Arabidopsis thaliana: one gene and its partners. The main gene of each other region encodes a partner of the protein of the gene in region 2 in a complex. Each region holds a gene or a part of one and is shown on either strand. Other genes may lie near its edges.

Evidence for each region. Proteins that work in one complex are often made in the same cells at the same time.
Region 1: emb1473 (region 2) and PSRP6 share a complex: the UniProt entries of both Arabidopsis thaliana proteins name them as parts of the 50S ribosomal subunit.
Region 3: emb1473 (region 2) and AT5G47190 share a complex: the UniProt entries of both Arabidopsis thaliana proteins name them as parts of the 50S ribosomal subunit.

What each region holds. Positions count from the first base shown.
Region 1 is NC_003076.8:5,905,604-5,908,970, forward strand, and holds PSRP6 (plastid-specific 50S ribosomal protein 6), read left to right. Parts: upstream 1-1,985; 5' UTR 1,986-2,144; coding exon 2,145-2,534; 3' UTR 2,535-2,861; downstream 2,862-3,367. Other genes in the region: CSA1 (disease resistance protein (TIR-NBS-LRR class)), read right to left, coding at 3,271-3,332.
Region 2 is NC_003070.9:29,574,049-29,578,443, reverse strand, and holds emb1473 (Ribosomal protein L13 family protein), read right to left. Parts: upstream 2,639-4,395; 5' UTR 2,448-2,638; coding exon 2,196-2,447; intron 1,888-2,195; coding exon 1,702-1,887; intron 1,502-1,701; coding exon 1,331-1,501; intron 1,155-1,330; coding exon 1,038-1,154; 3' UTR 564-1,037; downstream 1-563. Other genes in the region: AT1G78620 (integral membrane protein (Protein of unknown function DUF92, transmembrane)), read left to right, coding at 2,686-3,135, 3,463-3,716, 3,864-3,987, 4,101-4,205.
Region 3 is NC_003076.8:19,163,678-19,167,875, forward strand, and holds AT5G47190 (Ribosomal protein L19 family protein), read right to left. Parts: upstream 2,459-4,198; 5' UTR 2,388-2,458; coding exon 2,358-2,387; intron 2,269-2,357; coding exon 1,939-2,268; intron 1,768-1,938; coding exon 1,681-1,767; intron 1,593-1,680; coding exon 1,459-1,592; intron 864-1,458; coding exon 755-863; 3' UTR 507-754; downstream 1-506. Other genes in the region: RAB1A (RAB GTPase homolog 1A), read left to right, coding at 3,352-3,365, 3,789-3,861, 4,084-4,131. UniProt on the Arabidopsis thaliana protein: Located at the 30S-50S ribosomal subunit interface and binds directly to 23S ribosomal RNA.

The DNA of each region.
Region 1 (3,367 bases), on a different chromosome or scaffold from region 2:
TTAACATGAAATTATTATACATTTCTATTAAATAATAATCGATCGTTTTTCATAAAGGAAAAGCTTGTTTTACGTATCTTTTAAAATTTTCTAGATAATATATAAATATTTCCGACCAAGATCAATTTCCTTTAATTAAGGTCCGAAATAAAAATATTGATAAACAAAAAAAGTATCCAAAAGATTCCTGGTATATTCATTTAGCTGGCATGGCTAGTGCAGTACAAAATACAAACTCTAATTCCAAGAAAACAAAATAACGCAATAATGCAAAGTGCAAACGGACGAGAGCAATCGATTCATATATGGTTCTCTTCTCGATGTAATGCAATCACATGACTAAAACTGGCTCAAATTAGGCCTTTATACAAGACACTTACCTGTAAATAGACTAATATTTGTTTATATAAAACCATCAAATAATATTGTAAACAAATATATATATATATATGTATGTATGTGTTATATATATGTATGTATGTGTTATATCGTGTATAACTATTTAATTTGTTTAATTCACTTGTTCGATTGTATCTTCTTCTTAAACTTAAATCATCTTTTGGTTATATGTGTGTGTCTAATAACTATGTAATCTTTCTTTCAATTCTAATAAAATAAAACAAGATGTTAAAAAAAAAAAAACTATTTAACTATCCATGGTTGATGACTCGTACTTAAGACAAATAATCAAATTTCGTGATTCTAAAAATGAATGAAATTGATTGATATATAAGTGGGATTAGAAAAAAAAGAGTCAGATAAGTGTTATCTCGCGGTTATAATTTCAACGGTGCTAAGATAAGGATAAGGTTTGCGAAACTATATACTAATGCAACAATGGGTACCGTAGGTTTGTGATACCTAATTTGATCTAACCAACAGAATCTCTTCGTACTAGTGTAATCGAGTGGCTGAGCTGTTGATATAGAGATACGTAGTACTATTATTGTAAATAAAGAACCCAAAGAATCAAATTTGTCGACAACAAAATAAGGGGTGATAATCCGATGCACGTGGATTTGGTGAATGTATTGGATAATGCTAGTCACGTAGAAGAAAGTAATCTTATTTTGGGCCATAATTTTAGTAAATGTTTTTGAGTCTACGTAAAGAAGAGTAATTTTCATGGCAATCGCAATTTTCGCTGACAATTGATTATTTTGATATAATGTGAAATTGGTTAGGTTGGTGATAGTAGCTAGTTTGAAGCCTAACTTAGGCTTGTTATTGAGGTATAATACATTATTAACCATAAGTATTAGACAGGTTTTGGACAAATATATTTATTGGTCGCTTTGGCAGCATTGAAAAACCCTAAAAGCCACTAGAATGGATGTCTTCGAATGTCAGTTCACATAAATGTTCGCTAGCTTAATTTTATTTTCTTTTTTAAAAGAGAGGAAGCAATGATAACATAAACATTTTTATAGTGTTTTTTTTGAAACAAAAAGTTAGTTTTCTTCCTCAAATTCGATAACTAAATTACACCATAAATGAGAATATGTTTTTAGTTAAGTAGTTAAATCCATTTGATTCTACCTTTTTTACCAGAGTTTGACTCTACTAAGTCGTGTTACTTCGCATAATAAGGATTGACTATGAATCGTGTCTTGTTTATAAAAAAAAGAAAAAAAAAATTACACAACAAAGTTAAGAAAATTCAAATTTATTAATTTAATAAGCATACTTTGAATATAAATAAATCCTAAAACTCAAACTAATAAAAAAAGTATTTTTTTGTGTAGTATTAAAAGATGCAGAATCCGAAATAATGTATTTTATTGTAGAAGTGATTCAAAAGACCTTATCTCGTAGTCACTTGTAGCATTATTGGTTTAAGGTTAAAGAAAACATTTAAAACTCTGTATACATCATACATGACATCTTTACAAATTGCAAAATATACATTTTTAATCAGCTACTCTATTCTTAAATTCCTTTAATTAACGAGGTTATACAGTTCGATACGTTTAAGCAACAAAAAGTTCGATGCCACTAATAATTTAATTTTTGTTCTCTTCTTATCTTATAGATTGTTGCAGCCTGCAGGCTTGCAGCATAACGAGTTACATAACTATATACAAAGGCCCAATAGACACCTCAAAGGCCCAATAAAAAAGCCCAGGAAAAACGAAAACGAAGATATGAAGTTCTTCTCTAATCCGAAGCAAGAGGCTCAAACTCACTTTCACTTGCACAAAGATAAGGAAACCATGTCTGTGTCAGCGATCTTTGGTACCGGAATCGTCACCGTTGCTGCTTCTCCGGTTCTCCGCCAATTTCAAGTTCCAAAATTGGGTAATGGAGGAGGATTAGGGATGGTGATAGAGTGTTCGTCGAGGCCACAGAAGAAATCGACGGCTCATCACAGGAAGACGAGGCCGAAGAAGACTCAGCCTTGGGACATTAAGAGAAAGCCTACTGTTTACGCTCCTCTTCCTCCTCTTCCGGCGGAATGGAGTCCGTTCACTCTCGCTTCTGACGACGGTGGTGCTGCCACTGCTGCGGGAGATTTGGTTTCAGGCGCTGCCTAGTTGGTATGAGTTATCTGCTGATTTGGTTGTAATCTAGTTTGAGAACTTTTGTTGTTGTTTACTGTGTTTTCAGTTTTCTGATGTTTGTTGTTGGGTTTGTTTGTGTTTGATTGGTGAATGAATGGACCAAATTTGCGATTTATAAAGCTTCAACCTTTCTCCTCTGTTTTTGAGTTTAAAGGTCTCAACTTTATAGTTTATAGCTCTCGTCATTGTCATCTATGTTGCTTCTCTATAATTGCTTTTTTCCTTTTGGGTCTCATTAATTTCTGCAAGTAGTAATTGAATTGGGATGACAAGAGTTTAAGTTTGATATGTGAAAATGAAAGCACAATGGTATCTGTTTTGTGGCGGTTGATGCTGGAGTTGTTGTCAAATGCTCTGTTTGCTGCCATAGCAATGGGAATGTAGCTTCTAAAGAGTACGGTATAGTATACCGCATTATTGGAATTTTAAAATTTCCCTTTAGATTGGATTCAGGTGAAACGGCAATGTGCTCTGCTCACCATAGTGCAACACTTGGTCTAAACACTCTATTGTAGATTTTTAAGCCAAGTGATCTAAAGTGTGTTTGATGAAGAGTTTCAGCAAAAACATTTTTAGAAATGTTTATATCAGTTATGGGTTGATCACTCTGATTCTTGAATCTATCTTGTATCGGTCTAGTCCCAGGAGAAATTTAGAAGATCGATTTATCTTGCATTGCATGTTTATGGAGTCAATTCCAAGATCAACATCAATGGCTATACATTTCATAAAGCACGCATACAGAGTACATCCCGTTGAACCCATTAAACCCTGACACCTTAAAAGCTTAAGTCAAATCATCTGGA
Region 2 (4,395 bases):
CCAAATATTCAACTTGTTTTCATATTATTATGTAGATTTAGCATTCAAGTTTTTCATTCGGATTTTTAAAGTACTTTTTAAAATTTAGATTTTGTTTATTCGGATTTTAAAAATCTTTTTTCATGTGTTTATTTTTTAAAATTATATTATTTAATGGATACTAAATTTATATAATGATATGAAATCTAACCGGATTTTGGATCCAGCAATAGTCGTTAGCGATTCCAAACATTCAACTTGTTTTTCCTATTATTATGTAGATTAAACATTCAAGGTTTTACTTCGCATTTTTTAAAATAGTTTTAATATTATTTTTTTGGATGCTAAATTTACATAATGATATGAATACTAACCGGATTTTGGATCCAACATTAGTCGTTAGCGATTCCAAACATTCAACTTGTTTTCATATTATTATGTAGATTTAACATTCAAGATTTTTATTTGGATTTTTAAAAATAGTTTTTAAAATTTTGATTTTGTTTATTGTCGGATTTTAAAAATCTTTTGTGTTTGTTTGTTTGTTTTTAAATTTATTTGGATGCAAAATTTACATAATGATATGAATACTAACCGGATTTTGGATCTAGCATTAGTCGTTAGCGATTCCAAACATTCAAATTGTATTTCCTATTATTATGTATATTTAACATTCAAATTTTGGATCCAGCATTAAAAATTTCAGTTTTAAGTAATGACTCGATTAAGGCATGAATATTAGATTTTCCTTGCATCTGTGATCTCATTGGGAAGGTTTGTTACCAATTGAAGAGGAAGTTTTTGTTAATGGTGACTACTGTTGCTTATGGCATTTGTATTCATTACATGTCATCTTTTTCATGTTGAAGAAGATATTCAGTAGCAAAAAAAAATAACGAGAAATATTTCAAATTAGAAAGTTTTGTAGCATAACAGAGTTGATAGAAGCGAAAACAAGAATCTGTAAAGCCTCCTCTGGTTTTGGGATGAAGAAACTACAGAAACCTGAGAAGAAAAAACTCTCTGCGCTTGGCGATAATGGAACAGTGGTGGAGCTTCTATTTTTGCAGCTGTATTCTCTTGTCCCTGATAGGCAGATCAAGCGGTTTCTGGGCCTCGTGAGGATGGTCAGGGCCTTTGTACACCTTCAGGTGATTGAACAGAGCTCTCCCAAGCTGCCACAAAATGGTCAGACCAAAGTTAAGAGGGAGTTGGAAAACTAGTAATCAATCAATACCAATATCGCAACAAGTAGTTTCCAAGTTCAATCCATAAGTTTGAAGAAACACGGATTTGCTAAGTGTTAAGACTTAAAGGAGACTAATAAAGAGCTGTGGATTATGTATCTAACCCGTCCCTTTGGAAGCATTCCACGAACAGCATGCTCAACGATTCTTTCAGGAATTCTCTGCTGCAATTGATCAAATGTCTCTACTGTCATACCACCAGGTCGTCCTGAATGCCTCCTGTACAGCTTTTGGTTACGCTTCTTTCCAGATACAGCAACTTTCTCAGCATTCACCTTTAACCAAACAATTGAAAACAGTATTAGAGGTACCAAGTTACAAGCATTGCCCAAACATCTACATAGAGGCTCTACATCTTGCTGCTAATGTGAATCTTACTAAAACCAAATCCCAAGGCTCCTCCTTCAGGAAGAAATTAACTAAAGCAGCACATCAAATTTCTTATTCTCTACAGATAGCTCAAAGAAACTCATACCACAATCACAAAAGCTCCCATGTCGACACTAGGAGTGTAAGAGGCAAGATTCTTCCCACGGATGTGATTAGCAATTGTCGATGCCAATCTACCAAGAATTTTGTCAGTTGCATCAACCACAAACCAGGGCTTGTCCGTGTTCACATGGTCTGAAGCTTTTGGATACCATGTCGTGTTCCAGATGTCCTGTAAACCATAGAATACACTCAATAAAGGTTTCAAGCCAAAGACTTTTAACTTCTCTCCAACCAAACATTAATAATTTCATAAAACGTCCAAGTTAACAAATTCAGAAGAATAAACATCAATTTTCGAAGCCAATTGATGCAGACAACACAGCTAATGAGTCAAAGGCAAAATCCACTACTTAATAAATCGCAATTGGGAGAAGAAAAAAACAAGCCATACTTCAAATTCAAAGCAAGAGCTAAAGTGCGACACTTTATAAATGCGTAGATGCTAAACACAGAGGGAGATAGAAAAATTATCGTTACAGGGCCATTAGCTTCTTCTTCGTCGAACATCCATCGTTGATTCGCCGGAACAAGAGAAGTCGTCGTCGTCGGCTCAGCTTCACACTTCACTTGCAATCCTCTTTTCGAATTCGCATAAATGCCGACTCGTACCGACGGCTTCGAGATAGCCGTTAAAGAGAACCCTAAAAACGGAGACTTTCTCTCACTTCCGGAGGATTTCACGGAAGAAGAAGAGAGTATCACCGTCGAAGACGAGCAAAGAACCGCCATTTTTGTTTTTCTCTCTTCTGCAAATTTCTTCTGCTCTTTCCGATTTCTCGGATAAGATTGGGTTCTCAGTAAATAGTAGTAGTGGCAACACCGTAAATAATCTGATGAATACGACCGAAAAATAAACACAACACGGGTTAAGGATCCGGGTTTTTTTCGGAGCTCCGGATTCAACCCGAAATACTGTTTTTTTTTTCTCAATAGGAGAGAAAGGTCTTCTTCGGAAGCAAGCTAAGTCATGGCAACGATTTCGTCAACTCTACTCTTAAATTCTTCTAGATCAGCTTTACCACTAAGATTCCCAAAATTCTCGGGATTTTCTTCTTCCTCTCCATTCGCTAGATCTTACAGATTTGGACGACGTAATCTGGAACCACTTTCCAACGGAATGCTTTCGTCGGGAAGTAGAGCCGACGGTGCTACGGCGGCGGCTGCATCGATGGAAGGAGTGATGACGGAGGCGATGAAACTGATTCAATCGGCGTCACCAACTTGGAAATCAGCTGTGGCTAACAATTTATTGATTTTTGTTCTCGGTTCACCGCTTCTTGTTACCGGATTGTCCGCTTCTGGGATCGCCGCCGCGTTTTTGCTTGGTACTTTAACTTGGAGAGCTTATGGCTCTGCTGGTTTCCTCTTAGTCGCTGCTTACTTCGTCATAGTAAGTGCATTTGTGATCAACCTGAATGTAATTCGGTAACTGACTCTTAGAACGTAGAAATTCGCTGCTTTGATTTTGATTTCGAGCTGATGAATGAAGAATGTCCTTAGATTTTAGATGTGTTATTGTTTAATTTAGGAATTGTGGACGTGTTAGAGATCCTAAATCACGTTTACAGATTAAGGAGCTACTTTTTCTGATCATGCTCAACATTGAGATACTTAGTCTTTTCTCTGCAATGCTTTAAGTTTTAGATTTCAATATCGTGTTTCACCCCAGAGCTGGAAATAGTAACAGTAAATTTGCAATTGATTCTGGCGCTGAAGTTGGTTTAGATGATTTACAATATCACAGGGAACAGCGGCAACGAAGGTTAAAATGACGCAAAAGGAAGCACAAGGTGTGGCCGAAAAGAGAAAGGGTAGAAGAGGACCACGCAGTGTGATTGGTTCAAGTGCTGCTGGTTGTGTCTGTGCTTTTCTTTCAATATATCAAGTGGGAGGAGCAGCTTTTTCCCAGCTTTTCCGGCTTGGTTTTGTTTCCAGTTTCTGCACTAAAGTATCTGACACTGTCTCGAGCGAGATAGGCAAAGCTTATGGAAAAACAACGTGAGTATGCTACTGTTATCCAGCTATAGCCTCTTCTGTTATGGTCTGTGTCTGTTTTCTGTCTGATGTATGGCATGGACTTGTGGTGTCATGACATGAATCCAATCGACAACTGAAATGATCTTACTAACCATTGCCAATTCGCAGGTATTTAGCTACGACATTTAAGATTGTACCAAGAGGAACAGAGGGAGCTATGAGTCTTGAAGGAACATTGGCTGGACTTTTAGCATCATTTTTTCTTGCATCTGTTGGCTGCTTCCTGGGTCAGGTAATAGTGTTATTTGCTACCAAAATTTCCCTTCACAGCTTCTTTATGCTACTAAAGACTGTTATCATTACACGATTTTTAAACTTCTTTTCCTTTTGATATCTTGAACACAGATAACTCCTCCAGAAGCAGCTGTATGTGTACTAGCTTCCCAGATTGCCAATCTTGGAGAGAGCATAATAGGTGCTTCTTTTCAAGACAAAGAAGGATTCAAATGGGTATGCTCACTTCAATGAACTCTCTTCTTTTTGTTTTATTGATCTCACTCTGTCTACTTGTTGTCAATGCAAGAAGATGATAATCAAATGAATATACCGTCACTTCTTGCAGAAAGACTGATAGATAACTGGCTTGAGTGGAAAACGATTTCCATTCAATACAGAATTTTGAAGTTTTCGTCTTATGAAT
Region 3 (4,198 bases), on a different chromosome or scaffold from region 2:
AGTCGAAGCAAAGTTTCCGTACGATTTTCCTCCGGCGTCGTCTCCGGGAACTGCGGGGAAGAAGAAAGAGCGAAAGAGAGAGAAGAGAGGGAAAAATGTGACACGTGTGAAAACAGTTGTGCATTGTAAGAGACGAAAAAACAAAGGTTAAAAGCGACAGGCTGGAAAAAAGAGGATGATGACGTGGCAGATATTGATTGGTGTTTGATTTTATATAGTGGCTAAAAAGGCTATAATGAGCTTTCAGGGTGGTAGGCCATTTTTCGTCTCTCACGATTGATGATATTTTAAATTTATTTCTCCGTGTCCATTAATGATTGATTGTTAGCAAGTAATTAATTATCGGACATAAAAGTCATCATACAGAGGAAAGAGACAAGAAAAATACTCAATCATTCGTTTCTTTTTTCCTGCTTTAGCTGGAAAATTCATTTACATGAATGAATTACATGATTTTACATGTAAAAAATCTATTTTGAAAAGCAATTTCAATGATTCAAAAGTTTTATTTTAATGATTAAATCAGTCATATTTCTGAAAAAGAATACTAAAGGGTCCAGATTCTACATACTCAAGATCAAAACAATCAACATTGATTTACTTTTCTTAAATTACTGTTACTGTAAATTACATGAAAAGAAATGAAATCCAAAAGACGAAACAAACAAACAATTATTACAAGAGAAAAGAGAGTAGCTAGCTACCTTTGGAGATTGAAGACAACACAAGACAAGACTGGTGTTGGGTTTGGTGATCATTTAAAAGTTGAGAGACGAGGAAGTTTGTCCCTCAGATAGTAAAGTCTTGCTCTTCTCACTTTCCTGTGACTTACCACTTTTATCTCCTTTATGTTGGGAGAGTATCTGTTAAATTCAAAACACACATCACATCAGATACATATTCTAAACCAAGATCAAAACATATTACTTGATTGTGTAGATTAGTATCTGTTCAAGATCAAAACATATCAGTTACATATTACTTCATTGTAGAATCAGCCAATAGTACTGGAAAGTTCATAGGGACTAGTATGTTATGATAACGGCTAGACTCTAGAGTGATTAAGATTAAAGGTTGGTGCGCGTTTCTGTAGTAAATAAGCACAAAGCTTGGTGACCTATAATGCTAAGACTTCCAGCATTTATGTACTAGTTCCTATAGTATCATACTTGGAGTAGCAATTATTTCCTTTTTTCGTGAAGAAAGCTAATACATATGATCAGATATAGAATTGTAAATCTCTTAAGTTCTCAAGAAGCGAAGACTATGACTGTTCACGATAAAAGAAGCTAATTCCGGTTTGTTTTAGAGTTCCTAAAATCTCTCTCAAAGCCAAAAGACTCCTTAACAAGGTCAAAGACCCTTAACTCTGACTATCTAATACTATTTACATTTATACTTATCAATATACCCGAGTAAGTGTGTGATAATAGGATAGTTAAGGAAGAATAAACTTACATGGGAAAGACGATTTCAACACCAATGCCTGCAATAATCCTCCGGATACGGATAGTAGTGTGGATGCCTGCATTTTGTCTAGACATCACAATACCTTTGTAGATAGATAGCCTACGTTTGTTCTCAGGAACTTCCTGTAAAATCAAACCCACCATGTCGTATCAAAATCTTGCAGTTAAATGCATAAATTGCATAAGATTATACGGGGACAATGAGTTTTACCAGTTTGATTTCTACAATATCCCCAGTCCTAAGTCCAGGAACCGGTCTTACAGTCTCTGCAACCTCAATAGCTTTCTTGTTCAGTAGCTACAGAAACAAAAAGCAAATCAACATTTCATTTCTCCAATGCCTAAAAGATAACTGATGATTTAAGAACAGGAGCCAAAACAACTACAGTATCAGACATGTATAATCAGATTCAGAGCCAAAACAAAACACTAGACAATCTCATAGAATCACATTGGATAATGAACTAACCCCCATGATATCTCCGAGCTTGACTCTCGTCTTCCACGGAGGTTTAGCTTCCTCCGCCGCAACAGTGGCTTCTCCTTCTCCTTCCGCTTCAGTTTCAACAGCATTCTCCACAACAGCCTCAGTTTCACCTTCAGTACTCTCTTCAGCTTTAGCGATAAACTCTTTTCTCTTCTTGGAATCGATGGCGAAACCAAAATTGGAGCTCGAATGATTGAGAAAAACCCTAGAAACTGATAGTCTTGAGTTCACTGATGATGCTCGTGGTAGAATTGAAGAAACCCCTAAATTCTTCGACGAGAAAGAAGGGGTTCTCGGTATCATATGCAATGCCTGGTTCCATAAATGGTAGATAAATACAGAATTCAAAGAAGCATAAGTATGAAAATGTGATTGAGCGTGAGAGAGTGAAGAAGAAGAACCTGAGGAAGAAGATGAGAGCTCGTCGCCATGTTTGCACAACCCAAACTCGAAACCAGAGTAAAGAAGAGCCTTATCGCTTATCCGCTCCGTGTATTTCAATTTATGGGCCATTTACTAATTTTATGGGCCTAGACATTTAGGCCCATATTCAATTGATATAACAAGAAACCCATTACCAAAGCTGGTTCTACCAGTCTACCACCACGAACCAAGGCTTGTCCAAGTACACTAATGTAGAACCAAAAATGGTTTAAATAAAGAGTTTCTGTTACAAACAAATGTATGTTTATGTGTCCTTAAATTGATAGCTCTAAATAATCTACTTTGGGCCTTTTAAAAGTTATGATTGACGAATAAATTTCTGCTGGAGTTGAAATATTATTCTATGTGACTATGTTGTATATTCAAGTCGTCTACATGTTCACGTTACATTGACTTACACCGCAAGCGATGAAAAGCTATTATATGTTAGTTTAATCAGAATACCAAAAAGATAATAATCAAAATATTCCATCTTCTTTCTTTGTGAAACGAATATATATTCTCTTACAGGTGGTTTAATTAAAAGCTTGACAACAGTACGTAATATTAGCATACATATAAAAAGTTACATTAATTGGATACGAAATTTTAATCTCCTAAAGATAGTTATTCTCCGATTGTATAGAATCAAAAAAGAAAAGAACAAAAATCGACAAAGAAGAAGAAAAAAGATTGATTGATTCTTTTGTCCTCCACGCATCTCTCTGAGTTGGCTCGGCCACGTCAGCATTCAAACATCAAAACCAAAACGCATTTAAATGTCGAAAAGAGTGGGTCCCTTTTTTTCTTTTTTCTTAACCGTGTCATTGACAAAAAGAGCACTTAATAAGCCAAAGCCACATAGAAGAAAAAAAAAAGAACATTCACGTCTCTCTCGTTTTTTTGGCCGACGACGATCGCTGAATTGACTGCCGGAGATTCCTTTAATCGTCAGATTCTCGTTGAGGGATAATGAATCCTGAATAGTAAGAAACTTGTCTTCTCGTTGTTTCATGTATCTATTGTTTCGGATCGATCCGCGTTTTTTATTTTTTGATGTGTTTGGTGATTTGGTTTTTGTTCGATTTTGCTTTGGATCTTTGTTGGTTGTTAGGTTTGTGAATTGAATCTACCTAATTTTGCTCGTTTAAGGTATTTTGTATTAGAATTTTGTATAGATTTGGATTTTCGTTCCATGGATCTTATACAGGTCAGATCCGAGGAAATTTGATCGAGATCTGCAATTTCTGTTTACTGTTGTAGTTGAAATTCGCGAGTGTGACACAATTTTCCCTTTGATCTCATTAGCATATTGTATATAGATGTTCTTGCGTTTTTATTTCCTGACCCGAATTTTCATGAGTTTATGAGCTTCACTGAGATTGGTGTTTACCGTTCTGTTGTTGCAGTGACTATCTGTTCAAGCTTCTGCTTATTGGTGATTCTGGTGTTGGAAAATCATGCTTGCTTCTAAGATTTGCTGTAAGTATTCCCACAATTCTGGATTCATCATCTCTGGTAGTTACTTTTTAACATTGTGTACACACAAAAATTTGAGGATCACATCTTGGAGTTCAATACCTGTTGCTCAAGACTCAAAACTCAAAAGTCATTACTCCATTGGATTAGCTTAGTTCTCACTATGGTATCATTGTTACTCCTTTGTGTTCTTATTTCCTGATATCTTGAATTTTATGTGGACAGGATGATTCTTACCTGGATAGCTACATAAGCACCATTGGTGTTGACTTTGTAAGCACCTTCATTTGCTCATCACTCATTTATATACAGGAATCAGAATAATAAGTGTTAACCTTTA